Linked DNA regions of Macaca fascicularis. The protein of the gene in region 1 interacts with the protein of each later gene in a biochemical or structural test. Links are inferred from orthologs where the notes say so. Each region holds a gene or a part of one and is shown on either strand. Other genes may lie near its edges.

Evidence for each region.
Region 2: the proteins of HSP90AA1 (region 1) and SUGT1 form a complex in vitro, tested with the Homo sapiens proteins (4 studies listed by BioGRID, with this or other methods). The link is inferred for Macaca fascicularis from reciprocal best matches to the Homo sapiens genes HSP90AA1 and SUGT1.
Region 3: the proteins of HSP90AA1 (region 1) and STIP1 form a complex in vitro, tested with the Homo sapiens proteins (9 studies listed by BioGRID). The link is inferred for Macaca fascicularis from reciprocal best matches to the Homo sapiens genes HSP90AA1 and STIP1.

Annotation. Positions count from the first base shown.
Region 1 is NC_088381.1:170,183,689-170,194,059, forward strand, and holds HSP90AA1 (heat shock protein HSP 90-alpha), read right to left. Parts: upstream 6,806-10,371; 5' UTR 6,747-6,805; intron 6,149-6,746; coding exon 5,987-6,148; intron 5,898-5,986; coding exon 5,531-5,897; intron 5,211-5,530; coding exon 5,077-5,210; intron 4,783-5,076; coding exon 4,462-4,782; intron 4,347-4,461; coding exon 4,181-4,346; intron 3,756-4,180; coding exon 3,565-3,755; intron 3,463-3,564; coding exon 3,315-3,462; intron 3,077-3,314; coding exon 2,808-3,076; intron 2,239-2,807; coding exon 1,905-2,238; intron 1,319-1,904; coding exon 1,209-1,318; 3' UTR 544-1,208; downstream 1-543. UniProt on the Homo sapiens protein: Molecular chaperone that promotes the maturation, structural maintenance and proper regulation of specific target proteins involved for instance in cell cycle control and signal transduction.
Region 2 is NC_088391.1:31,856,972-31,867,400, forward strand, and holds the start of SUGT1 (protein SGT1 homolog), read left to right. Parts: upstream 1-4,763; 5' UTR 4,764-4,844; coding exon 4,845-4,882; intron 4,883-4,969; coding exon 4,970-5,027; intron 5,028-5,054; exon of another isoform or gene 5,055-5,160; intron 5,161-9,509; coding exon 9,510-9,600; intron 9,601-10,400; coding exon 10,401-10,429. UniProt on the Homo sapiens protein: May play a role in ubiquitination and subsequent proteasomal degradation of target proteins.
Region 3 is NC_088388.1:10,207,432-10,217,920, forward strand, and holds the start of STIP1 (stress-induced-phosphoprotein 1), read right to left. Parts: upstream 6,109-10,489; 5' UTR 6,051-6,108; coding exon 6,042-6,050; intron 5,908-6,041; exon of another isoform or gene 5,793-5,907; intron 5,148-5,792; exon of another isoform or gene 4,948-5,147; intron 1,219-4,947; exon of another isoform or gene 930-1,218; intron 778-929; exon of another isoform or gene 1-777. UniProt on the Homo sapiens protein: Acts as a co-chaperone for HSP90AA1. Mediates the association of the molecular chaperones HSPA8/HSC70 and HSP90.

The DNA.
Region 1 (10,371 bases):
GCTCTCCTCACCTCAGGTGATCTACCCGCAAGTGCTGGATTACAGGCGTGAGCCACTGCTCCTGGCACTTTTTCCTTTGACTTGTGCCAGCCCATCTTTTTCCCACCAGCTTGTTACCTGCTGCTTACAGGTGTCAGCTGGCTCAATAAAAAACCAGAAAATTAGTAACGAGAGATTTCAAACAGGATAGCTTTAAGTAGATTTGGTAAACAACTTTGAGACACTGTAAGGCCAAGAAATTAAGTGACTGTATTTAGAACAGAAGGTATTCCATGAATAACATCAAAACAATGTGGACGCTAAGGGGAGAACACGTGTTAACTCACGGAGACAGGGGATACACGTCTGCATTGCTATTTTCTGTGCCTACTTCATGTGCTCCACCCCACACCTGCGGAGTATATGCTGGGAAGATCACGTCAACCCTTGGAGTGGCCAGTGTTTAACCGTCTACTGCTAGCACCTCATGTTTTACATTTTGGCACCAATGTCATCCAGATATTCCCCTTTCCCCCTAAATAAGACACACTGTCACACAACATCTTTTAACTCATCTGTATTTGTTACAACTTTAAGCAGAATGTGACTCCAGCACTACATTTCCATCCACAAGACTTGAGTTATTTTTGAACAGCTTTATGATATGCTTAGGTAGGCTTATAACTTTGCTCCTCCAAACAATACTTTTCTTTGGAAAACAAGCCCTGTGGAGAGTTCCTTCTATCAAGTTGCTTCAGTTTAACCTATTTCTAGAGGACTAGTACATGCAAAATTGGCAACTACAGGGGATGAAAAGTTCAAAAAGATCCTACAAGATGTAACAAATACTTTTCTAAACATCCAGGTATATATAGCTCGAGAACACTTCAATAACAAGATTTGGTCTACTTAGAAATCCGGCTTGATAGCTAAACACTGTAGACCACAAAGTTAACATCATGTTACATACATCTTACAACACACGTTACCCCAGTCTGTTAAAATAAACCAATGTGAAACTAAAAAAGCATTACTAGCTCTGCTTTAGTGCCTAAGGTACCACAGCATCACTTAGAAATAGACAGAAATCTTATCTTCCCCTTAAAGTAGTTGTTGTCATGCCATACAGACTTTTTAATATTAACAAAAATAAAGAAAAACATCCTGGAAAATATATTATCAGAAGAATTGTAGAGTATTGAACAGGTAAGTCATCCCTCAGCCGGAGGTTAGTCTACTTCTTCCATGCGTGATGTGTCGTCATCTCCTTCGAGGGGCGGCATTTCTTCAGTTACAGCTGCACTGGTATCATCAGCAGTAGGATCATCTTCATCAATACCTGTTTCCAAAATAAAATCCTCGTATTAGAAAGATTTCTTAAAGCCAGCTATTAGTGTAATACTCCTGATTTATACCTGCTTTCAAGACAGTATTTACAGGGCATATAAATCTCAATTTCATTTCTTAGCTCTTATAAGACCTTACTTATCCCTAAAAAAAATATTCTTGAATGCCTCCAAGCAGGACAAGGTGCTCCAAGTTTGGGTAACTGAAAGTTTACCACTTTCTTCACTGTCATGTGTATTTCTTTCCTTTTTTTTTTGAGACGGAGTCTCGCTCTGTCGCCCAGGCTGGAGTGCAGTGGCCGGATCTCAGCTCACTGCAAGCTCCGCCTCTCGGGTTCACCCCATTCTCCTGCCTCAGCCTCCCGAGTAGCTGGGACTACAGGCGTCCGCCACATCGCCCAGCTAGTTTTTTGTATTTTTTAGTAGAGACGGGGTTTCACCGTGTTAGCCAGGATGGTCTCGATCTCCTGACCTCGTGATCCACCCGTCTCGGCATCCCAAAGTGCTGGGATTACAGGCTTGAGCCAACGCACCCGGCCTATTTCTTTCCTTTTTAACATTACATAGTATTAGGCTTACCCAGACCAAGTTTGATCATCCTGTAGATCCTGTTGGCATGTGTCTGGGGATCTTCCAGACTGAAGCCAGAAGACAGGAGTGCAGTTTCGTAAAGCAAGATGACCAGATCCTTCACAGACTTGTCGTTCTTATCAGCCTCTGCCTTTTGCCTTAAGGTCTCAATAATGGAATGGTCAGGGTTTATCTCCAGGTGTTTCTTTGCTGCCATGTAACCCATTGTTGAGTTGTCTCTTAGGGCTTGAGCTTTCATGATTCTCTCCATGTTTGCTGTCCAGCCATATGTGCTTGTGACAATACAGCATGGAGACGTCACCAATCGGTTTGACACAACCACCTGTAATCAAGAAGTGATGACTAGGAGCCTAGAAAGATTAAACCCTAAACCTTCATTGTCAAATGAAATCTGAAGAACCCAAACAATAGATCCGAAATACTATTAAATAGAACTTAAATGTTGCATTAGGTAGTCAAAGAGCACAGATTATAATTAATTTCGTTTTACGTACACCACCTTTTTTTTCCCCCGAGATAGTCTTGCTTGGTCACCCAGGCTGGAGGTGCAGTGGTGCAATCTTGGCTTACTGCAACCTCTGCCTTGCGGGTTCAGGAGATTCTCCTGCCTCAGCCTCCAGACGCCCGCCACCACGCCTGGTTAATTTTTTCGTATTTTTAGTAGAGACGGGGTTTCACCGTGTTAGCCAGGATGGTCTCCATCTCCTGACCTTGTGATCCACTGCCTCAGCCTCCCAAAGTGCTGGGATTACAGGCGTGAGCCACCACGCCCAACCATACACGACATAGTTTTCTATTTTAAGTTGAAAGCAAAGAAAAATGGGTCATGTATGACTAAGCTTGAAAACACCCTAGAGGTATCAATGATCAGGAAATGCTGTATTCACATACCTTTTCAACTTTTTTCTCCAGTATGTCTTTCATGATTTTGCAGAGGTTCTCAAACTTTGTTTTTTTCTCTTCCTGTTTCTTTTTCTCTTCTTCATCCTCTGGAAGTTCCAAGCCCTCTTTGGTGACTGACACTAATGTCTTCCCCTCAAATTCTTTTAGCTGTTGGACACAGTACTCATCAATGGGCTCGATCATATAGATCACTTCTAAGCCATGTTTCCGAAGACGTTCCACAAAGGCTGAGTTAGCTACCTGGTCCTTGGTCTCACCTGAGGTATTACAAAGTTACTTTTAGACCTTTTAACAGTAAGAATGGCTTCATCTACTTCTAACTTTTGCTAGCCAGATACCTAGGCAGAACCTAAGACAAATAATGACCTAGTTCATGTTAATTATCTTGCCTAGATCAACGCCAGTTATAACAGTGCTACCTGAGTAGAAAACACACCCACAGAGCCTACAAGGTTATAAGAACGACGTATAGACTGTAACATAGCGTCCCCCTACCTGTGATATAATAGATATGTTTCTGGTTTTCCTTCATTCTGGTGCAGTAATCCTTGAGAGAAACCATCTCATCGCCAGAGGCAGATGTGTAGTACCTTAACAGCTCTGAAAGCTTCTTCCGATTTTGTGAGTCTTCATGTATTCCAAGCTAAAACAAAGTATGTTCTTTACTAAAGACTCTCTGAATTCAAAAAGAAATCTAAAAAGAGGCCAGCAGGGAAACTACCAATGGTCAAATATTTACACCAACCTTTATGTTTTTAGAGAACTGCTCATAGAACTTCTTGTAGTTCTCTTTATCTTCCGCCAGTTCAGTAAAGAGTTCTAAGCATTTTTTGACCAAATTCTTCCTGATAACTTTCAAAATTTTGCTTTGCTGCAACATCTCACGGGATATATTTAGAGGGAGGTCCTCTGAGTCTACCACCCCTCTAATGAAGTCTGAAAAAAATATAAAAATCAAATGCACTGAGTCATTCCAAGGACAAAACTGGTACTATGTAAACCCCCAAAAGCAAAGACAAGAACCTGGAGATGATAGGAGATTATTTTTGAGACAGTGTCTCACTCTGTTGCCCAGGCTGGAAGGCAGTGGTGCAATCTCCGCTCACAGCAACCTCTGCCTCCCAGGGGGGTTTTCAAGCTATTTTCATGCCTCAGCCTGCCACCACATCGGGCAAATTTTTCTAATTTCAGGAGAGATGGAGTTTCACCATGTTGGCCAGGCTTGTCTTGAACTCCTGACCTCAAGTGATCCGCACACCCCGGGTTCCCAAACTGCTAGGATTACAGGTGTGAGCCACCATGCCCAGCCAGAAGTATTTCTTTAATCAGTGACAGTGATTATTTTTCCTATCTATACTTACTCAGATATTCAGGGATTAGCTCCTCACAGTTATCCATGATGAAAACTCTGCGTACATACAATTTGATGTTGTTCTTTTTCTTTCTGTTTTCAAACAGGTCAAAAGGAGCACGTCGTGGGACAAATAGAAGGGCTCTGAATTCCAACTGCCCTTCAACTGAAAAATGCTGTAATAGAACAAACACACTAAGTATCAATGAACAATGCATTATAGCAGATATTTGGGGTGGTGGGATGATAATCTAAAGACAAGCTTGAAGCATCCATCAGTCCCTCACTCACCTTCACTGCCAAGTGATCTTCCCAGTCATTGGTCAAGCTCTTGTAGAATTCTCCGTACTCCTCATTAGTAATATCGTCGGGATTTCTGGTCCAGATGGGTTTTGTTTTGTTGAGTTCTTCTTGATCGATGTACTTCTCCTTAATCTTCTTTTTCTTCTTCTTGTCACCATCCTTCTTTTCTTCTTCTTCCTCATCAGAACCAACATCTTCAATTTCAGGTTTGTCTTCAGACTCTTTCTCTTCTTTTTCTTTTTCTTCTTCTTTGTCTTCTTTTTCTTCAGCCTCATCATCGCTGACTTCTTTATCACGTTCCTTCTCCACCTTCAAAAGACATGAAATCGCATCACTGCTGCACTCTAGAACTAAGTCATAGCGCTGCCCCACTACTTTCAACCTAAGGCCAAAGCCTAAATTACCGAGGATGAGAAGCAGCCAGGCAGCTTCTCATCAATATTTGATATATCTACTTAATAACCCGAGGAACCTTCACAGTTAGTAGAGCTTAGGTTCCCCAGGCTTCAGACTAGTTCAACAGACCTAGGAACTAAGGATGTAGTACAGTCACCCCAGTCACCTACAGACAGTAATTCACTCTGCAATTATGTAGAAACTTACAAAAAGAGTAATGGGATATCCAATAAACTGAGAATGTTTCTTCACAATCTCCTTTATTCTTCGTTCCTCCAAGTACTCAGTTTGGTCTTCTTTCAGGTGTAGGATAACCTTTGTTCCACGACCCATAGGTTCACCTGCAAGAGAAATAAGGAAAATTGACTCAATAATACATTCAATTTAGTGCTCAACGCCATGCTTAACCCTTATAACGTGTCTATGAAGCGAGGTTTGCCCTTACTACAGATGCAAAGGCTCCCACAGCAGATCTAAGTGCCTTGCCCAAAAGAAGTAATCACCAAGTCATGCCATTACACACTAATTCAGAGCTCTAGCTTGTTCCTGATCCTTGGGTAAACACACTTTCTGTGAACTTCGCCGCATCCCCAGGGGTCCAAGGGTTGCAACACCCCACCATTCCGCCACTGACTTAACCAGTGAGTGTTCAGGTACCTACCTGTGTCTGTCCTCACTGTAAATGATCCCCCTGCTGAGGACTCCCAGGCGTACTGCTCATCATCGTTATGTTTGGTGATCACAGTTACTTTCTCAGCAACCAAATAAGCAGAATAAAAACCAACACCGAACTGGCCAATCATGGAGATATCTGCACCAGCCTGCAAAGCTTCCATGAACGCTTTGGTCCCAGACTTGGCGATAGTACCAAGGTTATTGATCAAGTCAGCCTTGGTCATCCCAATTCCAGTATCCACAATAGTGAGGGTTCGATCTTGTTTATTTGGTATCAGGTTAATATGCAGCTCTTTCCCAGAGTCTAATTTACTGGGATCCGTCAAGCTCTCATAGCGGATTTTGTCCAATGCCTATTAACACAAAATATTAATTAAGCATACAGCCCCCAAGAAGTTCATATTGAAACCAAAATCCTATTCTGGGTTAATAAACGACTTACATCTGATGAATTTGAAATTAGCTCTCTTAGAAAGATCTCTTTGTTCGAATAAAAAGTATTGATAATCAATGACATCAACTGGGCAATTTCTGCCTGAAAGGCGAACGTCTCAACCTCCTCCTCCTCCATCGGTTGGTCCTGGGTCTGCGTTTCCTCAGGCATCTGGAACGACACCGCGCCGGTTTAAAACCCTGCAGAGCGTCTACAGGGGCAACACGAGATTCCATCGCGTCCTCCCAATATTTTTAAAGCCGGATTGCAGATTTGCGAAGTTTAAGTAAACCGAAAATAGAAGGGCGGCTGACAAAGGATGACCTCATTTCGGAGCGCGGTAACTACCACGAGCGTGTGCGCGCTTCCGGGAGGCCACTGCAGGCCCGGCCCAGTCCCGCGCCGCGGTCCCCAACCGACACCCCGTGTGCTCTCCCGCGCGGGCCGCGGCTCCGCCAGGGCGGCCTCCTCCGCCTGCGCCCCAGCTGGGCCGCCCGGGGGGCCCCCAGCCAAAGGGCCGCTCTGCTCGCGTGCGGCGCCAGCTCCGGGGCTGCCGCGGAGCCTCGGGGAGCAGCCGCCCAGCCCATTCCTGAGGCGGGCTGCGGAGACAGCAGCGGGCCCACGGCCTCCGGAATAGGCAGCGCGGCCTCCCGGGAGAGCGGCCCTGGCGGGTTCAGGGCTCCCGTTCGGCCCCCACAGCCTCCGCTCCGCGCCAACCGCCCCCACTCCCCAATCCACCTCCACAGGCCCTCACAACCGCCCCTCACACCTTGGCTAAAAGGCTGCAAACGTTCCACCGCACAGCAGCACCAAGACGCTGAAGCAACTGACGCGCCGCCCCCGCGCCTGCCTTATATAGCGACGGGCCCGCCCAGCGCGCGGCGCTTTTTCCAGAAGCCTCCCGAACCTTCCGGAAGAACCCTCCCCAACCGCCGCCGCGGCCGCGCGCCTGCGCCTGCGCCCTCGCCCTCGCCGTGGCCCGCCCCTCCCGCTGGCGCGCGCAGGCCCTGCTCGTGGCCCAGCCCGGGAAACCTTCCCTCAATCACCGCCCCGCGCCTCTCGCACGCCCCCGCGCCGACCTCAATGCGCCTGCGCGGCCTGGAATTCTCGGGAAGGTCCGGGCGCCTTCTGGGGCCGCCCGCGCTCTCTTCCCTGCACTCCCACCTGCCGAGCGCGGGCGGAGGGCACGCCCGGGCGTGGGGGCCTTTGAAGTGAGGTGTAGTTTGGTCACCCGGGCTGCGCAGAATGCGGGGCTGGGGCGGGAGGCGCGCCTGGAGGGAGGGCCGTGCGTGGACGGGGAGCGCCCCGGGTCTCGCACGCCTGGGAAACTACCGGAGCCGTCATCCTCACGGACGGCGCGCCCGCTGCCAAAAAACCCAGCCGCAGGCGGCGCCGGGATCGCGGGGCTCTGCTCCCTGGGGGCCTTTGGGCTGTTGGCTTCTAGCTGCTGCGCGCAGGGGACGCCGTCCCGCGGCCTGCGCGCTCGGGGAGTCTCCAGACCCACTGCTGGCTCAGGAGCGCTCCCTACCTTTGGGTTCCCCGGAAGCCATGTCCTTCACACTTCAGGATCCCTTAGCTTGGGAATCGGGCCCTTGGTGAATAAATTCATGCTTACCCAGCTACACCCGGCATGCTTTTTAAAAGCCCATCGTTTTGCCGATCGATTTGAGGTCTCCAAATTAAGTATCTAACACTTGACATTTTGGTGATTAACCTTCCCTAAAAGACAGGTTTGGTGTTTTTTTGTTTTTGGACAGGCTGTCCCTCTGTCGCCCAGGCTGGGGTGCTGTGGCACAATCTTGGCTCACCGCAGCTTCGACCTCCCGGGCTCAGGTGATCCTCCCACCTCAGCTTTCCGAGTAACTGGGACGAGCGCGGGCGGAGGACCACAAGCGCGGACACCACACCCGGCTAGTTTTTGTATTTATTTGTATAGTTGGGGTTTCACCATGTTGCTCAGGCTGGAAGAACCAGTTTCTACATGAGAATTTTCAGATATTTTGGTCAAGGCCAGCTATGAGAACCTTGGAGGTGTTGGGGATCCTTAGACTTGGCTCCCATGCCTGGTCCATGTCCTCTTCCTCTCTGGCGCCTCCCACGATTGGGCCTCCTCCTGCCTAAACTCATAGCCAGGTCCTGGGAATAATCTGGAAGCTCCTTACCGTGTAAACAAACGACGGAACTACTTCCGCTTCCTGGTCTCTAGGGAAACCAACTTATTCAGGAGCAGGGGTTTTCAGACTGCGGCCTGGGACCCTTTAAGAGTGTGTGAAATCAACATAAAGCGTCTTGCCCAGCATTACAAAGCGGGGTGGATGGAAACTAGCAGCCACGTGGCGCGGGCCCCAGCGGTGGTTACTGGGTGTGTGCCGGCTCCCGTGATAGCTGTTCCGCAGCCTTGGGGGGCGCCCCCCGCCCAGGCCTTCCCTACACTGCAGCCGAGACCGGCGGGGAGGAATCCGGAAGCAGGCGGGGCGGTGAGCAGGTTGCTGAAGGGGCGCAAGGTCTTCCCTGGCGAGTGCCTCCTCCGCCTGTTTCCTTCCTGTCACCACCAGCCACTGTCCCCACTCTCCTCACTTGTAGGAACTTTTCCTACCGCAGTTTCTGCCATTGCCAATGGGGTTTGAGATTTCTTATACAAGAGCCATCCCGGGCCCTAGCTCTGACAGTCTGTCTTTTGTTTTTGGGACCTTCATTTTTCCCCGTTTCTCCAGTGAACCTGCCCCAAAGCCCCTGCCTGGGTCTGGGCATCACTGGGAACCACCGTTTCCCGTCAGGCCCCACCTTTAATGTCCCTCCTTCCTTCCACAACTTCCTGTCTTTCCAGCTCTCCCGCCTCGGTTAATAAACAGGACATTGGCCGGGCGCGGTGGCTCAAGCCTGTAATCCCAGCACTTTGGGAGGCCGAGACGGGTGGATCACGAGGTCAGGAGATCGAGACCATCCTGGCTAACACGGTGAAACCCCGTCTCTACTAAAAAAAAAAATACGGCGGGCGCGGTGGCTCACGCCTGTAATCCCAGCACTTTGGGAGGCCGAGGCGGGCGGATCACAAGGTCAGGAGATCGAGACCACGGTGAAACCCCGTCTCTACTAAAAATACAAAAAATTAGCCGGGCGCGGTTGTGGGCGCCTGTAGTCCCAGCTACTCGGGAGGCTGAGGCAGGAGAATGGCGTGAACCCGGGAGGCGGAGCTTGCAGTGAGCCGAGATCGCGCCACTGCATTCCAGCCTGGGCGACAGAGCGAGACTCTGTCTCAAAAAAAAAAAAAAAAAATACAAAAAACTAGCCGGGCGATGTGGTGGACGCCTGTAGTCCCAGCTACTCGGGAGGCTGAGGCAGGAGAATGGCGTGAACCCGGGAGGCGGAGCTTGCAGTGAGCTGAGATCCGGCCACTGCACTCCAGCCTGGGCGACAGAGCGAGACTCGTCTCAAAAAAAAATAAATAAATAAATAAAAAATAAACAGGACATTTTTGTCCTGTCTCCGGGTGACATTCCACAGTTACACACCAGTTGAGACCTCTGCCATGGTTTCTACCATCAATATGCCAGCCCCTGGCTGTTCCTTCTCTCTTCTCAGACTCATGTCCCTCTCCCTGGCACATCACGGAGCTCCTGGAGGTGGGTCCTTGTCCCCAGGAAATCTTGTCCAGCACTCTCACTAATAGAACTTGTGTGCAGATGACTCACGGAAGAGCCGGGGCAGGACTCAGCTCCAGACCTGGATGCTGAGCCTCATGAGCTTCTCCCACCTCTCCAGCCCTCTATGAGGGTTCGTTAGCCAGGTGACTGACTATCCCACCACCTTAAAGAATCCCAAGCTTCCCCATAAGGGATCTGCCACTGAGTCCTGCCACTTGTGCTTCCTAAGTACCTCTTGAACCCAGCCACTTCCCTCCACCTTCATCTCCCGCTTCCACACAACCGGGAACTCACCTGGAAGGCCTCCATAATCACCTGACTGCTCCCTATATTTGGTCTGGTCTGTCTCCAACGTGTAGCCAGGGTGAGCTTTGAGAACACAGACCTGGCCCTCTCTATTCCCTCCTCCCCACCCTCGGCAAATCCTAGCTGACTTCCCATCCTTCTAGGAAGAGAACAGAGCTCTTTAGGCCTGTGAGGCCCTGCAGGTCGCTGCTGCCTACCCATACAGCCCCAGTTCCCACTGTGCTCCTATTTCTGTGTCTGGCACTCTCCGCATGACTCGCCCCCACAAGGCTGTGCAAATGCTGTTCCCTCTGCATGGAACACCATTCCGTCTGTTCTTCTCTAATTAATTTCTTTTCTTTTCTTTTTTTTTTTTGAGACGGGGTCTCGCTCTGTCGCCCAGGCTGGAGTGCAGTGGCCGGATCTCCGCTCACTGCAAGCTCCGCCTCCCGGGTTCACGCCATT
Region 2 (10,429 bases), on another chromosome or scaffold:
CAGAGTCTTGCTCCATTGCCCAGGCTGAAGTGCAATGGCCCGATCTCGGCTAACTGCAACCTCTGCCTCCCGGGTTCAAGCAATTCTTCTGCCTCAGCCTCCCAAGTAGGTGGAATTACAAGCACCTGCCACCACAACCAGCTAATTTGTTTTGTGTTTTTAGTAGAGATAGGGTTTCGCCATGTTGGCCAGCCTGGTCTCAAACTCCTGACCTCAGGTGATCCACCAACCTCGGCCTCCCAAAGTGCCAGGATTACAGACGTGAGCCACCGTGCCTGGCTGCAGTATTTTTTAGTTTTCAGTGCACATCTTGCATATCTTTTGTCAGATTTTTTTCAGTATTTAATATTTTGATGTTACTATAAATGTCATGGCTTTTAGCATTTTAAATTTTGATTATTACTGAGTTTGTTTTAAATCTTTTTTCTATTGAAATATAAACTTTGTAAAGTGCACAAATCTTTTTAAAATTTTCTTTTTTTAAAAAAACTTCTCTTTGGGAAAGCTTTATTGTGAAAAAGACACAAATAAGAGATTTTGTTAGATTCAGTTTGAAATTATCAAGTATAATACACTTAAGGATGGCTTCAATGTTAGACTGGGAAGGTTTTCTCTTTTAAATGAAAGGATCCTTTTCCTAGGAAGATGTTAAGTAACACAGTATAGATGACTATTTTCACTCTTCAGTTTGAAGACGAATTATCCTTCAATAAATGCCCACTTAATCCAGCATGGTTACTCCTCCCCTTCTTTAAATTACCAAAGCTAAGTACATTGGCATATTTAGTTATGTCATTTGCATATGAAAACATTTTTTTTTAAACTTTTTTTTTGAGAGAAGTCTCACTCTTGTCTCCCAGGCTTAAGTGCAATGGCTCAATCTCAGCTCACTGCAACCTCTGCTTCCTGGGTTCAAATGATTCTCCTGCCTCTGCCTCCCAAGTAGCTGGGATTAAGGCGCCTGCCACCATGGCCCCACTAATTTTTGTATTTTTTAGTAGAGACGGGGTTTCACCAAGTTGGCCAGGCTGGTCTCGAACTCCTGACCTCAGGTGATCTGCCCACCTCGGCCTCCCAAAGTGCTGGGATTACAGGCATGTAATCCTGTGCCCGGCCGAAAACATTTTATTAATGACTTCTTAAGCATTTGTCTCTCCTTCCTCCCAAGACTTCAATAAACTGATGCGAAGAATTTATGGAGAAAATTATAAAAACTTTACTGAAAGATAGATATGAGTAACTGAATGAAGCAAGCAATTACGTTCATGGATTGGAAGAGGCAATACAAGGGAAAGATATCATTTCTTCTCAAACGAATCTGCAAAATCAAAGTGAACAATTTGTTGTTGTTGTTAAGAGACTCACACTGTTATGTAGGCTGGAGTGCAGTAACACGGTAAGAGTCTCAACCTCCTGGGCTCAAGTGATCCTCCTGCTTCAGCCTCTCAAGTAGCTGAGGCACGCACAACCATCCTTGGCTAATGCTTTTTTATTTATTTTTTGTAGAGACGAGATCTCACCACCTTGCCTGGGCTGGTCTTGAACTCCTGGGCTCAAGTGATTTTTCTGCCTTGGCTTCCCAAAGTGTTGGGATTATAGGCGTGAGCGTGTACCCAGCCTGCATAAATCTTGTGCATAACTTGATAAAATTTTGTTTGAATACACTGCTGTGATTACCAGCCAGATCAAGATATGTAACATTTCCTGCATCCAAGAAGATTTCTTCATGCTCCTTTTCCCCACCCTCCCTGACAACCAGGAGGTTCCCTTATGATACCTCTCATCTAAGTGGAATCAATCATGATGTACTCTGTCTGTTTTTTTTTTTACCACAACTTAATGTATATAATGTTCATCCATATCGTTGTGTGTAGTAGTCGTTCATTGTTACTCATTGCTATATAATATTTTTTCTCCTATTTAAGGACATTTAGATTATTTCCAGTTTTTGCTACCTTGGGTAATGCTGCAGTGAATATTCTTCTACATGATCATAAATAATAAATACTCTTGGGTATATGCCCAGTGGTAGAATAATTGGGTTATGGTCTATGTATAACTAGCTTTAGTAGTGTCTGATATAGTTTGGATATGTGTCCCCACCCAAATCACATGTCAAATTGTAATCCCCAATGTCGGAGGTGGGGCCTGGTGGGAGGTAACTGGATCATAGGGGTGGGTTTCTCATGAATGGTTAAGTACCACCCCCCTTGGTACTGTCGCAACAGTGAATTCTTGTGAGATCTGGTTGTTAAAAAATGTGTACCTCCCCCCACCCTACTTGCTCCTGCCATGTAAGATGGCTGCTTTACCTTTGCCTTCTGCCTTGATTGGAAGCTTCCTGAGGTCTCTGCAAAAGTAGAAGCTGCTATGCTGCTTGTACAGTCCGCAGAACCAAGAGCCAATTAAACATTTTTTCTTTGTAAATTATCTAGTCTCAGGTATTTCTTTATAGCAATGCAAGAACAGACATATAGTACCACAGTTTTCCAAAATGATTAAACTCTCACCAGCAATATATGAAAGATATAGTTGCTGCATATCCTTGTCAATGCTTGGTATTGGAAGTCCTTTTAATTTAAGCCATTCTGGTGGTAGTCTTGGTAACTCATTGATTTCAATGTCCATAATATATAGAACTTTTTCTCATGTTGGGCCTATAGGTCAGTCTTGGAATTCACCCTTTCAGAGGCCATACATTTATGTGTATTGGTGCATGGCAGAGGCTGGTGTACACACATTAGTGCAGAGCCATAACTGGAGCATACCTGAGACTAACCCTGTGGTCTAAGAAGAACCTACGTTTGGAGTCCTGGGCTGAGGAATCCAGGAATAGCCAACCCAGAGATTCACTCCTTATCTATGAAGGACATCCACATCCCTGGCCCATATCTTAGGCTGTACAGGAAATCAAGGCCCTTTGTTTTTGGGTTAAATGGAGGTTGCTAGGAGGGTGCTAAGTGAAAATGGTATATACACTACATGCTTTTTACAAATGGTATCAGTTCTCCAGGCCAGCCCACCACTGGACCACCCTCGTATGTAAGTCCTGAATAAACCTTGTCTCCTTCACTGGCTCTGCCTCTCTTCTTATAGTGCCATCCCAACTGGAGTCAGTGGGTCCAGAAGAACAATTGGCCATTTAGATAACATCTGAAAATTAACCAGTGTAATTCACAGTAACATTTAAAAATACAAATGAACATTTCAATAAAGGCAGAAAAAGCACTTGATATTCAATGCTTTCCTCCTGATGTTACGACCAAGACAAGGAAGTCCATTATCACTATTTTTACTCAATAGTGGAAATACTAGCCAGCAACAAAAGGCAAAAATAAATACAAATAAAAGGTATAAAGGTTACAGAGAAGTTAAACCATCTTTATTCGTGGATTGCAAGATTTTGATCGCAGAAATTCCGAAAGAATCTACACAGTATTATTACAAGTAACAAGGGAACTTAGCAAGATGCTTGAATATAAGATCAGTATGTAAAAATCAATATTGTTTATTCTTACAACAAGCAGAATATTAAAAAGTCAAAATGCCATTTAACATAAATCTAATGAAAGATATGTATCATCTCTATACTGCAATCTATCCAAGCACAGCTGCATTAAAATATAGATATATGGGCAATCTACAAAACATTGCCAGGAGAAATTAAAGACCACTTAAATAAATGGTGGGGTAGAATGATACTCATGGATTGAAGGACTTAATGTTAAGATACTAGTTTTCCCCAAACAGATCTATAGATTCAATGCAAGTCCAGCAAAAATCCCATTTTTTAATTTAACCTAATTCCAAAATTCACCTAGAAATACAAAGGTCGTAGAATGAGCCAAAGCAATCTTGGGAGAATAAGTTACAGGACTTAAAGATTTATTATAAAACTACATTAAGTTAACACAGTTTGGTACTGGTATAAAGTTAGACAAACACTACTCCCTCTCGCTCCTCAATCTGCCCCCATCCCTGGAACATGCTGGCAGCTTTCTCCATCCGATCTGCAAGCGTAAAGAGCGCTGAGGAAGGGCTGACCGACTGGCGTGGGAAACAAAGCGGCACTGAGATAACTTAGGCCACCTTCCTCCCCTCAGTACCTTCGGATGGAAAAGGTTTCCCTTCTTGGTCTGGGAAGCCCACTAAGAAGAAATCCTGGGCTGTGGGGCCGCCCGGCGCGTTGCCCCAGGAACCAGAAGGCTTTTTGCCGCTATTAGGGCAGAATGACTTCCGGTGAGTCCCAGCCGTTTAGGATTCCCAGCCCAAAGATCGCGGGAATCCAAGCGTCATCCGGGCCTCTGCTCCCGGAAGCGACAACGCAGCCGCGAATGAGGTAATGGAAGCGAAAGGACTTGGCTACCTGTGGCAGCCATGATAGAAACTAGGGAAAATGGAAGCTCGAAGTAGCTTGCGTTATTAACTGACATACAAACGCCCCTAACCGCCACACGTTCCTGAGGGATGACAGTACGTTACAAAAGTGCTTGTAAACTACTACTGAAAGCTCCGTGGGAGTGCCCGCTGGCGTGGGCGCCGTGGAAGGGAGGGAGAACGTGTACGCCCCAGGCTTCAGTAACCATGGCTGCGAGGGGCGGGGACTGGGAGCGCTGGTCCTGGGCCGGGGTGGGGCTGGGAGGAATCGGTCCTCCACTGTCCCGGCTGGCCCCGCGCCGGCGTGTCGCCTCCCTTTCCGCTAGCAGCACGCTGCGTGGCTGCTCGTTGGCTATTTAGGACGGAAGCTCGGTTGGTGTTTCTCCAGAAGTTTCCCCCTTGGGCGGTAGTGGAGGTGGTAACCGCGATAGTAGCAACTCCGGCGGCAGCAACAGTGACTACGAGGGATGGCGGCGGCTGCAGCAGGAACTGCAACATCCCAGAGGTGCGTGTTTTTCTTTCCCTTTGCTATTTATTTTATCCCCCTTTCCTTGGCTAGTGAGCCGTGCTGAAGTCGTTGTTTTCCTGACAGGTTTTTGCAGAGCTTCTCGGATGCCCTAATCGACGAGGACCCCCAGGCGGCGTTAGAGGTGAGAGAGCCCATTTCTGCTTCCTCCACTCTCTTTAGGGGAACTGGGCCACTTCGGGGCCCGGCTGACTCGCCTTCTCCCAGCACCGCCGGACAGGGACCCAGGCTCTTGTTGATGCTGCGTCTCAGCCCCGGTATTGAGATTCTGGGTCTCCTTTCTCTGTTCCACGGTAGCCGCGTTACCCTAGACTCCTATCTCGCCCTTTCCACTCCCTACAGCTCCTGAGAAAAACCTGTATTTCTTGGGAGCATGGTTGGCATTTGTAGTTGGGTTGAAAGAATTTTTTTTTTTTTTAATGGCATTTATGACTAGAAGAGAAAAGTGGGCTCTGGGCTGGGCTGAAAGGATTTTTGTTTTTTAATGACGTTTGTGACTAGAAAAGTGGACTCTGGGCTCGATGAAGTTAAGTTTTTCGTTTGACAATCATTCTTGCCACTCTTATGTAAAAGTGTCGGTATGAAGTCGGTTTATTGGAGCAAAAACCTTTTCCCTCACGTCCCTGAAACTTTCCAGATGTCTTATCACAGTTCATTATTCACTCATTTGTATATACATCAAAAATTGTTTTTGAGTGGCAGTGTGCAAAGGCGCTGATTGCTATGGGTTAAAGTCTTCGTTATATACTTAGCTAACTTAGAAATCACTTTTTGTAGGTGTGCAGTGAAGACAAACCATAAAGCTGTAAAGGAATGTAAAAGAGCAAGAGTTAAATAATAAGAATTAGAGGAGAACCTAAAGATAAATGATGGTGTGGGTCACAGAATTTAGCCAGGAGTTTGTTTTTTGCGTTACATCACAGAGAAGAGGAAACCTGTTTTGTTGTTATGTTTAACACTTTGAGGCAAGACAGCGTTTTTTCTAGCTATGACTTTTATAAGAAATGTGCCACATGGTACTAGAGCCTCCGTTGAGAAGATCTTTGAGCTGAGATCTGAAGCAACAAGGGATATTACTTGGAAGCTCTGGGGGAAGAGTATTCCAGGCAGGACCAAGAGCCAGTGCAGATCCTGAGGTAGGAATGAAGTTGGGCCTGTATGTGAAGCAACAAAAAGGCTCTTTTTATTAGAGGGCCCATTTGATTAAAAGATAAGGTTGGACAGGAAACTAGGAGCCAGGTCCTATAAGGCCTTTTAGGGTCCAGGTGTTTTTTGTACCTAAATATATAGACCTTTAGATACTGGGAGTAAGGCTTCTGGGATCAGTTTGGGGATAATGTTACAGAAAGCACTGATAATTTTTCTCCATAATTCCTTGTATTAGCTAGACAGCTATTACTTTTAATTTACATTTGTTATTGTCCTGTTAGACCTAGTGCTTCGTTTGGAAATCCGCTTTATATAAAAGTTGCTTTTAAACAATATTAACATAATGAATTTTATTGTCACTTTCCATCTTACTGTACTTTTAAAAATGTTTATGGAGGCATATATGATATGTGTAAATAACACAAATTTTAAATCTATAGTTTGATGAATTTTCACATGTTTACACCACCAGATTAAGATACAGAGTATCTCCATTCATAATGCTCCTTCGTGCTCCTTCTGAGCCAGTAATTCTTCTTACTGTCCTGCTGACTCCTGTTTTGACCTCCATCACCATCAATTAGTTTTGCTTGTTCTTTACTCATAAACAGAATCATACAGTAGGTGCTTTGTTGAATGTAGGCACTCTGTTTTTGCTTTAATCATTACGTGAGTATACATTCATATTGTGTGAAGCAGTAGTTCTTTTGCGTTGCTGTGTAATATTCCATTGTATAAATATATGTTGTACAGCTGTAAGTACAGCGCAATTTATTCTAACAGTGGAAATCTGGGTTTCTAGTTATTAGCTAGCATAAATAAAGCTTCTGTGAATACTCTTGTACGTGTATTTTGGTGAACACATGCATTTCTTTTGGTTGTATGTACCTAGGAGAAGAATTGCCTAGGATAGTCATGTGGCTAGTATTAGTACCTTGGTTTTTAATGTGTGGCTCTTGGACCAGCAGTAGTAGTATCACCTGGCAATTAATTAGAAGTGCAGCCGGGCGCGGTGGCTCACACCTGTAATCCCAGCATTCTGGGAGGCCGAGGCAGGCGGATCAGGAGGTCAGGAGTTTGAGACCAGCTTAGCCAACATGGTGAAACCCCGTCTCTATTAAAAATACAAAAAATTAGCCGGGCGTGGTGGTGGGCAGCCATAATTAGCTGCCCGCGAGGCTGAGGCAGGAGAATCGCTTGAACCCTGGAGGCAGAGGTAGCAGTGAGCTGAGATCGTGCCATTGCACTCCAGTCCAGGTGACAGTGAGGTCCGGCCATCAAAGGCATTAAATCCCGGCACAGCGTTTTCAGTTTTACATGATCGTGGAGATGTGTCAAGAATTTGGAGAAAGGAAAATGAAATTTTCTGAATTACAAAACCTACTTTAAAAGCAGAATAGATGGTTAATTGGAGGAGGAACAAGGGATAGTGGGTAGCAGGAAGATGGTGGTGCTGACCGGATCGAAGAATAATATCTGCGTGTAGGGTAGTGATTGAGAGCATGAAGGGGAGTTGTTTTATGTAAAATGCACTGGACTTGGTAACAATTGGAATATAAGGGATGTCTCCTGAGATTCTGGCTGGGGGAATGTAGTAGGAACTGGTGCTATTCATTTAGATAGCATTTAGGATGATAGCACTTAGAAGATTGCATTCAGCATTGGGGAACAGGTTTGAGGAGAGAAAGTAGTTTTAGATTGTGAATATTTGTACATGAGTTGCCCCTGGGACATTTCAGGTAGTCTAGAGAAAACTATGTGCTGCTGTTGCTCAGGGGCACTGTCTAGGCTCAAAATAGACTTGAGTCATCAGCATGCATCAACACATATGTGAATCCCCCCAATAGTTAAGGAATCAAAGAATGTTTGTAGAGGGGAAGAAGCCTTAAGTACTGATCCCAAGGAGAACATTAGTTTTTAAGAGGCAACAGAATGGTAAGCCGAAAGGCCTGGTTATTATTGTCAAGGGCCGCAGAGAGATCAAGTCAGATAGGAATCAGTTGGATTTGATAAGGGGTTATTAGTGATTTTGAGAAGATTAAGACTAGAGAGGCAAATATTTTTGTATTCTGTGGCAAAGAAGATGAGGTCAAAGCAGAGACCAGGGAAAGGTCTGAAAAAAAATCTGCAAGGAGAAAAATCAATACTTTTCATTGAATGGTTACTAGATGCCACATACAGATCTAGGCAAGCCCAGCACCCTGCAGTCATCTTCAATTTATCTTATCTCACATGTTCACCCATTAGCAAGTCTCGCTGCTTCTAATATGTTCCAACTTACTGTATTTCTCTTCGTCACCTCTGTGGCTAACATGCTTTTCTAACCTAGACTTTAGTAGTTTCCTAAGAAGTCTCCGTTTCCAGTCCTGATTTGATAATGTATTCACCAGACTGCAGCCAGAATGACATTTAAAAAAATAGTAAATTGGACCATGCTCTTACAGTGAACTTTCCATGGCTTTCCATCACACCTAAGGTCCAAATTCCTTATACAGTCTGCAGCCTACAAAGTGAGGCCCTTGAAGTGTAGCAGGTTACAGCTTCTTTGCTTTCTTGGTTTGAGCCACACTTTCTGTTGATTGATTGTAACCCCATGTAATTTGAGGAGCATCTGTACATGTTGCTTTGTGAGAGTCACACTACTAGGTTAAAGCAAAGTCAATGATACATGTGGCTCTTGAAATAATTTTACCATTAAAGAAAACTACCAAATCCCTAGAGTTTGTAGTCAGTTGGCAGAAAATAAAAGTGTTCCTGCACTTGTCCTTGATCTCCCAAGTTGTGTAATCTTTTGCATCATTGTTTTTCCAGCTACCACACCTATATGTTGTGACTGCATGGGTTGAAAAAGTTTCAGTCTCTAATGTTAACTCTTGATAGTTGACATAGCCATCTATTAGATTGTGTCTGGGCTTTGAACAGAATATTTAGTTGGGTTTTATTAGAGTTGTGTGCTATTGATAGAGGCTAGGAGAGGGCCAGGTAAGCTTGATTGTGTATGTATTGATTGTCTTAACCTCCCTGAGTGCTAGATTTAACTTCTCGTCTTTTTTTTATTGCACAGCTTCACATTTTCTAGGAATCTCAAATTCTATGTGGTGTTTGAATCTTCTTCAGATTAGGAGGAGGAAATCTGTAATGGTCAATGTATAACAATTAAACTCTTAAGAATATATGAGGTGATAATAATGATCATTTATTGAATTCTGTAGACCAGGAACTAAATACTTTATGGTACACAGATACTACATTAGATTGTCTACTTTTGGGAGGAGGGGCAAGAGAAGTGGGGGAGATACTGATCCTTTTATAAGGAAAAACTCCAAGGTTATATCCCTGTTAGCTTTCCTCCAAATAGCTTCTGACAATAAGTTACTTGATTAAAAATTATGTTTTAATTAGAATTTGATGGCTTTTTACAAACTTTTACTGACACTCAACATGTTTGTTTTTGTAGGAGCTGACTAAGGCTTTGGAAGAGAAACCAGATGATGCACAGTATTATTGTCAAAGAGCTTATTGTCACATTCTTCTTGGGAATTACTGTGGTAACTTTTCTTATAAAGTATATTGCCCTTTTTAATAAGTTACTTACACATTTTACCCATGACAAATTAAAGGTTGTCTTTGAGAATTTTTAAGTTGGTCTTTGATACAAGGTAAAGTAGCTCAAATGTGACAGACACGTTGAGCAACACCCATTTAAATTTTATGGATGTCGCTTTTTCCTTCATTGGGTGGAGAATGTATACAGATTTCATTCATAGTTATTGGGTATGCTGATAAAAAATAGCATCACATTTACTATTTGACAGAGTATTAAAATGAAATGCTTGTTTGTATTTTTTTATAAAAAAGAATGACCAGGCATGGTGGCTCACGCCTGTAATCCCAACACTTTGGGAGGCCAAAGCAGGAGGATCACTTGAGCCCAGGAGTTCAGGACCTGCCTGGGCAACATAACAAGACCACCTATATTTAAAAAGTAATATATTTCTGTGTTTTGTAACTTTAAAAAATTATTCTGATCAAGAATCTGAATAGGGTAAAACCGAATACCTTGAGTAAAATTACGTAGACGATGTTAATGAGACAAGGAGGTGAATTTTGTGACACAGCTGTATTCATTGACTGAAGAGCTTTAAGAAGGAAGCTAAATGTTAAGCCAAAAGGAAGATACAAGAGTAATAATTTATTTGAATTCTATCTTGTATTAGCTTTTCCTAATTTAAAACCATTTGGCATTTCTACCAACTTGAAAACTTAGAAATCTAAAACTGATTTATATGTTATATGTATTTGCTAGGATCTGTAAATAACTGACTAAAACCCATCTTTTTCTACATAGTTGCTGTTGCTGATGCAAAGAAGTCTCTC
Region 3 (10,489 bases), on another chromosome or scaffold:
CCTAGTCACCCCTCACAGGAAGAAGGTGGGCGGAGTGGCACTGATCCATGCTCCAGTGACCCAAAGGCTGTGGGATGGCAGCGGAGGCTTCTCTTTCTTGGGAGCAGCAAGATGCCTGCCTATGGCATGGTTGCCATCTCCTCCCATCAGAGAAGAACTAGTCTCCATTTCCTGGTGTGACAACATGTCGCCACATGATAGATAAATGTTCATTAATGGGTAACAGTCAAGCTAGCCCCCCAAATTGATTCCTGCCATTCTTAAATATTACTGCATTACAAAGCGGATGGAGGATAAAGAAATGCTACTGTGGTTTAAACCTCTCCATTCTCAAACATTTAGAGTGCAAGAAGTAGGGATACAGCAGGGTTTGGTTTTGTTTTGTTTTTCGAGACGGAGTCTCACTCTGTCGCCCAGGCTGGAGTACAGTGGTGCCATGTTGGCTCACTGCAACCTCTGCCTCCCAGGTTCAAGTGGTTCTCCTGTCTCAGCCTCCCAAGTAGCTGGGACTACAGGTGCCCCCCCCGATGCCCGGCTGATTTTTGTAATTTTAGTAGAGACAGGGTTTCACCATATTGGTCAGGCTGGTCTTAAACTCCTGACCTCAGGTGATCCATCCGCCTCAGCCTCCCAAAGTGTTGGGATTACAGGCGTGAGCCACTGCGCCCGGTGGGATACAGCAGTTTGAAAAAGTGAAGCAACTCTGCCTGGCCGCCCCACTGTCGGAGAAGTAAGAAGCCCCTCTGCCCGGCTGCCTGACTGGGAAGAGAGGAGCACCTCTGCCTGGCCGCCTCTGTCTTGGAAATGAGGGGCACCTCTGCCTGGCCGCCTCTGTCTTGGAAATGAGGGGCACCTCTGCCTGGCCGCCTCTGTCTTGGAAATGAGGGGCACCTCTGCCTGCCCGCCTCTGTCTTGGAAATGAGGGGCACCTCTGCCTGCCCGCCTCTGTCTTGGAAATGAGGGGCACCTCTGCCTGGCCGCTGCACTGTCTGGAAAGTGAGGAGTTCCTCGGCCCAGCCCCTGCATGGTCTGGGAAGTGAGGAGCGTCTCTGCCCGCCCATCCCACTGTCTGAGAAGTGAGGAGTGCCTCTGCTGGGCTGCTGTGCAACCCTCCAAGTGTGAAGTGACAGCCTTGTGTGTGATCTTTCTGCCCTCCCCAAGTTTGCATTAGACATTAAAGTTTACTTTTTAATAAAAAAAAAAAGAAAAAGAAAAAAAGTGAGGCAGGCCTTGGCCCTGTCTTAACAGGGTCCTCACTAAAGGGTTTCTCCTCACTGAGCTGCCCCACAAAAGGCCAGGCGCCCCACAGCAGCCTACCTGAGGGCAGGCAGCCCCTCGAGAAGCTCCTTCATTTATTCATCTTATTATTATTTTTTGAGACAGAGTCTTGCTCTGTCCCCAGACTGGAGTGCAGTGGCACGATCTCGGCTTACTGCAACCTCTGCCTCCCGGGTTCAAGCGATTCTCCTGCCTCAGCCTCCCGAGTAGCTGGGATTACAGGCTCCCGCCACCACGCCTGGCTAATTTTTGTATTTTTAGTAGAGATGGGGTTTCACCATGTTGGCCAGGCTGGTCTTGAACTCCTGACCTCATAATCCGCCCATCTCAGCCTCCCAAAGTACTGGGATTACAGGCGTGAGCCACCGCGCCCGGCCATATATATACATATCTATGTATTTTTTAAAGACAGTATCTCACTTTGTCACCCAGCCTGGAGTGCAGTGGCATGATCACAGCTGGCTGTAACCTTCAACTCCTGGACTCAAGCAATCCTCCTGACTCAGCCTTTTTTCTTTCTTTCGTTCTTTTTTTTTTGAGATGGAGTTCCACTCTGGTTGCCCAGGCTAGAGTGCAATAGTGCGATCTCACCTCACCACAACCTCTGCCTCCCAGGTTCAAGCGAGTCTCCTGCCTCAGCCTCCTGAGTAGCTGGGATTACAGGCATGCACCACCACCACCATCCATCTAATTTTGTATTTTTAGTAGAGACAGGGTTTCTCCACGTTGGTCAGGCTGGTCTTGAACTCCTGGCCTCAGGTGATCTGCCCGCCTTGGCCTCCCAAAGTGCTGGGATTACACGTGTGAGCCACTGCGCCCGACCAACTCAGCCTTTTAAGTAGCTGGGACTACAGGTGTATGTCACTACGCCTGGCTAAATGTTTTTCTCTTTCTGTGGTAGAGATGGTGTCTCTCCATATTGCCCAGGCTTGTATCAAACTCTTGGCCTAAAGCAACCCTCCTGCCTCAGTCTCCCAAAGGTGAGCCACCACACCAGACCAAAATATACCTTTAAGAGGTAAACGTTCTGTGAGATAGTTATGTCACCCAAGTTACTAACTCATTCTATGTATTATCCACTCACGACCCAGTAAATTGATGCAAGAAATAATTTTGTTAAGAGAAATGATTTTAGGCTGTAATCTCAGCACTTTGAGAAGCCAAGGCGGGTGGATCATCTGAGGTCAGCAGTTCGAGACCAGCCTGGCCAACATGGTGAAATCCCGTCTCTACTAAAAATACAAAAATTAGCCCGATGTGGTGGTGCATGCCTGCAGTCTCAGCTACCCAGCAGTCTGAGGCAGAAGAATCACCTGAACCTGGGAGTCGGAGGTTGCAGTGAGCCGAGATGGCGCCACTGCATTCTTACCTGGGGGACAGAGTGAGACTCTATCTGGGGGGGGGAAAAAAAAGAAAGAAATGATTTTGGAATCCTGAAATACATCAGGAACTTCCATCAATCAGAGACATTACAGAGGCACAGGCAGAAGGAACCTGCCAAATTAAGCAAACAAGGGATAAAAAATCCTAGAGCCCAAGATGGAGGGCAGAAGACAAAGAGTTAACAAAACTCAAGTGGTGTCAAGAGGCAGCTGGTGAAGTTCTTGCCTATGCTTTAAAAAAGCATTTTTCAAACAGAGTACTGATCAACAGTGGGTCAGGAAATCAATTTTGTAGGTCATGACCAGCATTTTAAGAGACCAAGTGGGACAAAAAATACCAGCACACAGGGCACATAACAGTAAATACTGTTTTGCTGAATGTGTTACATGGCTGGATGCCTGTGTTGGGTTAAATGTAAGAAGTATATCATTGCAGGATTTATTTGAAAGGCCCCTATTGAAAAAAAAGACAAGCTTGAACATTCAAAATCTGTCCAACTTGTTTTTTTTCTGGAGACAGAGTCTCACTGTCATCCAGGCTGGAGGGCAGTGGAGCAATGTTGGCCCGCTGCAACCTCCACCAGCCGGCTTCAAGCAACTGTCCTGCCTCAGCCTCCCATGTAGCTGGGACCACAGGTGCACGCCTCGATGCTCACCTAATTTTTTTTTTTTTTTTTTGAGAGAGAGTCTTGCTCTGTCACCCAGGCTGGAGTGCAGTGGCACAATCTCGGCTCACTGCAAGGTCCGCCTCCTGGGTTTAAGCGATTCTCCTGCCTCAGCCTCCCAAGTAGCTGGGACTACAGGAGTATGCCACCACGCCCAGCTAATTTTTGTATTTTTAATAGAGACACGGTTTCACCATATTGGCCAGGCTGGTTTCGAACTCCTGACCTCATGATCCACCCGCCTTGGCCTCCCAAAGTGCTGGGATTACAGGCGTGAGCCACCGCCCCCGGGGCGATTTTTTATTTTTTATTTTTTTTAAATTTTTACTACAGATGGGGTTTCACAATGCTGGACAGGTTGGTCTCAACCTGACCTCATGATCCACCCACCTCCGCCTCCCAAAGTGCTGGGATTACAAGTGTGAGCCACCGCACCCAGACCAACTTGAGTATTTTCTAAACTGAAATACAAACCTCACAGTTGAAAATGAAAACAAAGTCTTGTTTATTTTCAGGAATGGCTTCCAGATGGTGGGCTCAAACACACCTGGGGTTAAATGCCAGGTCATCTGTACAGTCGCCATGTCAGTTTGCTGTCCTAAGTCAAATATTCATTCACCATCTATCTATCTGCACATACACTTCTACCATGGGTGGTGGTGATTTAAAAACAAACATTTTAAGACCAGGCAAAGTGACTCACGCTTGTAATCCTAGTGCTCATGCAGTGGGAGGCCAAGGCTGAAGGATAGCTTGAGCCTAGAAATTCGAGACCAGCCTGGGAAACATAGCAAAACCTCTGTCTCTACAAAAAATTTAAAAATTAGCCAGTTGTGGTGGCGTGTGGTTAGCTACTCAGGAGGCTGAGGCAGGAGGATCGCTTGAGGCCAGGAATTTGATGCTGCAGTGAGCTATGATCCCACCAGTGCACTTCAGCCTGGGCCACAGAACCAGACCCTGTCTCTAAAAAATAAAAAATAAATTTGGTAACAGCAGAAAGAGGTCCTTTCTCTTTTTTTCAAGACGGAGTCTCACTCTGTCGCCCAGACTAGAGTGTGGTGGCACAATCACAGCTCACTGCAACCTACGCCTCCAGGGGTGAAGCGATTCCCCTGCCTCAGCCTCCCCAGTAGCTGGGATTATTGGCATGCGCCACCATGCCCCGCTAATTTTTGTACGTTTATTACAGAGGGGGTTTCACCATGTTGGCCAGGCTGGTCTCGAACTCCTGACCTCTGGTGATTCGCCCGCTTTGGCTTCCCAAAGTGCTGGGGATTATACGTGCGAGCTACTGCACCCAGCCGAGATCCTTTCTTAAAAGTAAAAGAGCAATGTCTTATTCCAGAAAATTTTTCCTCACCTATAATACAGCCCATTTAATCCTAGACACAACTGAAGCATTATATGGGCACAAAAAGTTTATTAACTTCATTTCCACTCTTTTTAATACAGCAAGGAAGCTCGAGCTTTGCCTAAAGCAGCAACTGCTACAAGAGACCAAAGGCTCAGCTCTGGAACTCCACCAAAAAAAGGGTGGTAGTCACTAGTCCATCGAGATGTCTTACTTAAGGGGAGCGTGTGGGCAATCTTAGTTTTATGGATCTGAAGTAAGAACCAAATACCAGGTATAGTTTCAGAACTGTCACCCCGAAGTGTTATGGGCCCGGAGCGACGAGGGTAGTACTCTCGAGCAGATGATTTCTCAGATGTTGGTAGAGGTTTCTCGGAGGTTGTTTTGTTCTTTTTCTTCCGATGAATCATTATAGCTCAATGACAGCTTCCAATGGAACAAAATCTCTAGGCCTTTCACAACCACAAGCTACTGAGGACATAACCAAGTCACTGAAAGGAAGCAGCAGCCGCTTCAAACTCTGCCCCCCAAATGCTCAACAGAGGCCCATAACTTCTAGCGGTTAATCTCTGCAAATTGTCTACAACCGCCCCAGTGTAGCTAGAAATCCACCTTTCGGAAGTGTCGGTCCTCGGTCACTCGACAATCACACACACGCATACAAAAAGAGGGGGAGGGGCCGCAATACATTTGTAAACCACTGTCAGAGATGGAATTCGTTCCAAGGACTTTTGCGGCACCCTTCCCTTTACTGCATCAGCTACACTCGCTCTGTAGCTCCTCAAATCCCCGCTCAACGCTCTCCCACCCTCACATTCTCAGATGCAGAAGAGTAAGATTTGCCCCAACTGGATCTCAGGCTGCTAAGACCCAGTGTATTCCCGTCCCCGCTCCCTGGATCCGTCCAAGTTCCTCGTGGCTAAGTCCGAGCGGTTTCTCCGTCGGCTGTCTCAGATCTCCCGGAGCGCTACCTCGCGGGTGCCGACCCCGGCCCCTGGCCTAACTCCACCCCGCCCTCTGCGGCCCGCACCCTCCCCAGCATAGCCTGCAGCAGCCCCTTCGGGACACCTTCAGGGCCCGGTCGCGGCCCCTCTTCCCGCCGCCGGCCGGACTCACCCAAGCTGTGGCCTCCTCCCGGCCCTCTTCGCCCAACCAAGGGGCGATGGGCGCTCCCCGCGGCCGGCCTCTACAGATCCCGCTCCCGCCCGCCGCCCGCGGCCCTCGCCTCCCCGCCGCCGCCCCGTCCGGCTCCAGCACCCAGCTCCGGTCGCCCAGATCTGGCACCCGCCCCGCCCCCTACCGCGGGCCTGGCCTCCGCCGGTCCCCGAGCGGTCTCGGGGCCTCAGCCCGCCCCTCCCCCTTCACCTGCTCCATAGCGCAGCGCGGCCCGGAACCCCGTTGAATCGAATCCGTCCGCTCCGCGATCCCAACCGCACGCGCCGCCTTCTGGAACCTACTAGAAGCTGCCGGGACCCCGGCTCCCGCCCCTTCCTCGCCTGCTCACTGGTCGAGTACTTCTAGGGGGCTCTCTGTGCTGTTCTACTACTGGCTTGAGGTCCAGCCCATCATCTCCACTTCCCTCTCATTGGACAGCGGGGAGTGATTCCCTCAACCCTGCCTCCCCCGCACCTCAGGATTGGACGCCGCTCTATAAACCCACCCATCTCAGGCTGCACGAACGGAGGGAGGAGCGGACTTCTGCGACACAGATTGGTCTTTTGCTCTGCCAATCGTAGCCGCGCTGGCCGCGCCCATTGGTTCCGTTCGTTCTGGAAATTTCCACCTCTCCCATTGGGCTGCCGGACTCCAAGTCGGAACCGCCTTCAGAATGAGAGCGATTCCAATTGGGCGGAGGGTTGCCAACCCTCTGCGCTGATTGGTTTAAATCGCTGCCTTTCAAAAGGCTGGGTTTCGCCCCGCCCGTGGCATATGGCAGTCTCGGCCGTAGTCCGGTACTGTAGCCGTGTCTCCGGCGGCTGCGGTGCCTGTGGGTTACTTTCCATCTGGATCCCTAGTGCCGCGAGTTCCAGGCGGTCCCCGGGATCGCCAGCGGCACAGGGCCCCAGCCTTTCGCCCACGCATCGAGATGGAGGTCCTAGCCGGTCGCGCTGCGTGGTCCTCGACCGCCAGTTGCGCGCGTTGTTCAGCGCTGCGGCCTCGGCCTGGCCCTCCTGCATTCTGGCTGTTAGGTTCCAGAAATGCCACGTGACCGCGAGGGCGCTTGGGCTTGGGCTGGACAGGCAGGGGATCTCATCGCGGCGGGTGCGGCTGTTCTGCTGGGCGTCCTCAGTGGAACCGCACACCCTCTCTGAGTCGTTTGGTCCTGTAGGGCCGAGGGGAATTCGTGCGGTGTTTAGCACGCGGAAAGTACTTAGCGAAAGGGAGCTGTCCCCCAGCCCTCGTGAGTCCGATGTAAAGGAGTGAAAGAGACGAAGAGCTGAATCAGGTAGTTAACCGCCTATGAGCTGGCTAACTGTGGCCTGGTAGAGCCTTAAATCCCAGCCCCAGAAGTCAGAGTCAGGGCAGGCACCCCAAAGCGTGGAAGAGATGCACCTGCGGAGTGAAAATGCTGCTATTGCTTCTAGAGTCAGCTGTGGTTCCTGGAACAAAGGAGCCGCATGACTCGGGTCTGGCAATGGTCTTGGGCTCTGCAGTGTCCTCATCCTTCCCCCTCTCTGGGTAATGCCATCTTCCCAGGGTTTAAAGTGTGTCCTCTCTGCCAATAGCTTGTCTCCACAGCCTCATCTTTAATCCCACCTGCCCCACCCATTTTGGACACTGCAGCCAAGTTGCTGCAGACCTGCAAACCTGGTAATCCCTCACTTGAAAGTGCTGAAGGCTTTAGGGTGGGATTCAGGGCCTGTGTAATCCAACCGCCTGCTTTTTTTTTTTTTTTTTTTTTTTTTTTGAGACGGAGTTGAGTCTCACTGTCTCCAGGCTGAAGTGCAGTGGCGCCATCACAGCTCCCTGCAGCCTGGACCTCCTGAGCTCAAGCCATCCTCCCACCTCAGCCTCTCAAGTACCTGGGGTTACAGGCAGGCACCACTACGCCTAGCTAATTTTTCTGTTTTTTTTTATAGACGGATTTCTTCGTGTTGTCCAGGCTAGTCTTAAACTCCTGCTCTGTCTCTCAGGCTAGAGTGCAGTGGGGCGATCTCGGCTCCCTGCAACCTCTGCCTCCCCGGTTCAAGCAATTATCCTGCCTCAGTCTCCCAAGTAGCTAGGATTACATGTGTGCGCTACCACGCCCGGCTAATTTTTTAATTTTTAGTAGAGACGGGGTTTCCCCATGTTGACCAGGCTGGTCTCAGACTCCTGACCTCAAGTGATCCGCCCGCCTCGGCCTCCCAGTGCTGGGTTTACAGACCCAGCACTTCGCCCTGCGGTTTTGCATTTTCAATAGTGAGGCATGGTGAGAAAAGACTTAAAGAAAGCAAGGGAGTGAGATCCTTGGAAATGTGGGGGAGAACTTTGCAGGCCCATGGAACAGCCAGTGCAAAGGCCCTGGGATGGGAGCTGCCTCGGGGTAGCCAGGATGGCAGGAGGCACAGCTGCCGAGAGGAAGTAGGGGCCAGGTCCTGCAGGGTTAGAGGCCATTGCCACTCCCGAACACATTGGCAGGTTTTGAGCAGAGGAGTGTCATGATCTTAAGTTTTCTCAGGATCCCTCTGGCTGCTGTGTGGAGGAAGAGGGGAGAGTGAGAGCAGGGTTACCTCTTAGGAGGCTGTGGCAGTAATCCCAGGGAGCCAGGATGAGAGCAGAGGAGGGGACAGGAATAGGATTCTGGATGCATTTTGGAGGGAGCATGAAGGAAAGCGGGGTCAAGGGTTCCTCTGAGGCCTTGGCCTCCTCTCTTATTCATCTACATCCAATCTGTCAAGGACACCTTTCATTTCTTCTTGGCACTGTCTCCAGGCCACCACACGTGCCCACCTGACCAGCAGTGGCCTTTCCAAGCCTTCCATCTTCTCCCCAGCAGCTTCTCTCCGAATGGCCAGGTCCCATTTCCCACACACCTTTTTTTAGAGTGTGTTGCACTGCTCTGGGTGCAGGGCTGTAGCAGTGACCAGGGCAGCCCCAGATGAAGCTTCTGCTCACAGGGACCTTTTCTACTGAAAGATGATACCTAAACTCTCAGCTGTGTGATGTTAAGCAATTTGCACAACCTGTCTGTACTTCAGTTGCCTCCATCTTCAAATGGGGATTAAAAAGTGTTGACATCATAGTGGTTGTGAGGATTACATGATTTGATATTCATAAAGCACTTAGAACTTGTCAAGAAGAGGGCCTGGGGATCGCCTGAGGTCAGGAGTTCGAGACCACCCTGGCCAACATGGAGAAACCTCATCTCTGCTAAAAATACAAAAACTAACCAGGTGTGGTGGTGCACTCCTGTAGTCCCAGCTACTCTGCGGGCTGAGGCAGGAGAACCACTTCAACCCGGGAAGCGGAGGTTGCTGTGAGCCAAGATTATGCCACTGCACTCCAGTCTGGGCAACAGAGCAAGACTCTGTCTCCAAAGAAAAAAAAAACAGTGCCTGGCTACGGAATAAGAACTACATGGATTTATTAAATCAAAATCAGTGCACAAATGATAATTCTCAAGAGTGAGTGCTACAGAGAACACAAAAGTCAAGGCACAGAGAGATGACCTGGGTGGCAGGGAAGGAAAGCACTCCCAGAGGTGAGTGGTTAGTGAAGGCCTGTCAGAGATGGATCGAGGAGAAGCTTAGGGGGCACAGGGGACCACACAGGCAACAGAGGATGCAAAGGTCCTGAGGCCAGGGCAAATTCAGAATTTTTTTTTTTGAGAGGGAATCTCGCTCTGTCACCCAGGCTGGAGTGCAGCGGCGCGATCTCGGCTCACTGCAAGCTCTGCCTCCTGGGTCCAAGCAATTCTCTGCCTCAGCCTCCAGAGTAGCTGGGATTGCAGGCACCCACCACCATGCCCGGCTAATTTTTGTGTTTTTAGTAGAGATGGTTTCACCATCTTGGCCAGGCTGGTCTTGAATTGCTGGCCTCATTATCCACCTGCCTCAGCCTCCCAAAGTGCTGGGATTACAGGTGTGAGCCACCATGCCCGGCCCAGAATTCTCTTTATCTTTTTTGAGGGGGTGGGGGATGGAGTCTCACTCTGTAGTCCAGGCTGGAGTGCAGTAGCACGATCTTGGCTCACTGCAACCTCTGCCTCCCGGGTTCACGCGATTCTGCCTCAGCCTCCTTAGTAGCTGGGATTGTAGGTGCCCACTACCACGCCCAGCTAATTTTTTTTTTTTTTTTTTTTTTGTATTTTTAGTAGAGATGGTGTTTTACCATGTTGGCCAGGCTGGTCTCAAACTCATTACTTCTAGTGATCCACCTGCCCCCGCCTGCCAAAGTGCTGGGATTACACAGGTGTGAGCCACCACGCCTGGCCCTGGCCCAGAATTTTCAAGAAATCTAAGGAAGTCTTTTTTGTGCTCTAAGTGTCCTTGACTGTAAGGTGGGGAGGATGAAGTGCCCTTGACTTCCCAAGGTTACTATGCAGAGTGAACAATATAATCCTCCCGGGTTGGACTTGAGTCTTGTCAGACCTGAAGCTTATGACAATTTGAGAGCTCGCTTTGAGAGAAGAAACACACAAAAAATGAAGTGTGTGGCTTTAGAAGGAGCACGAATGGGGTCCCCGATGTTTAAGCTGCTTTAGTGTTACAGTAAAGCCACCTCTGAATACCCAGAAGTGTTAGCTCTTATAACTTCCACCAACTCAGTTTTCTCCAAGCCTCTTGGTAGACTCAGAGGAGGACAGGGAGGCAGCCACTCTGGCTGGCCAG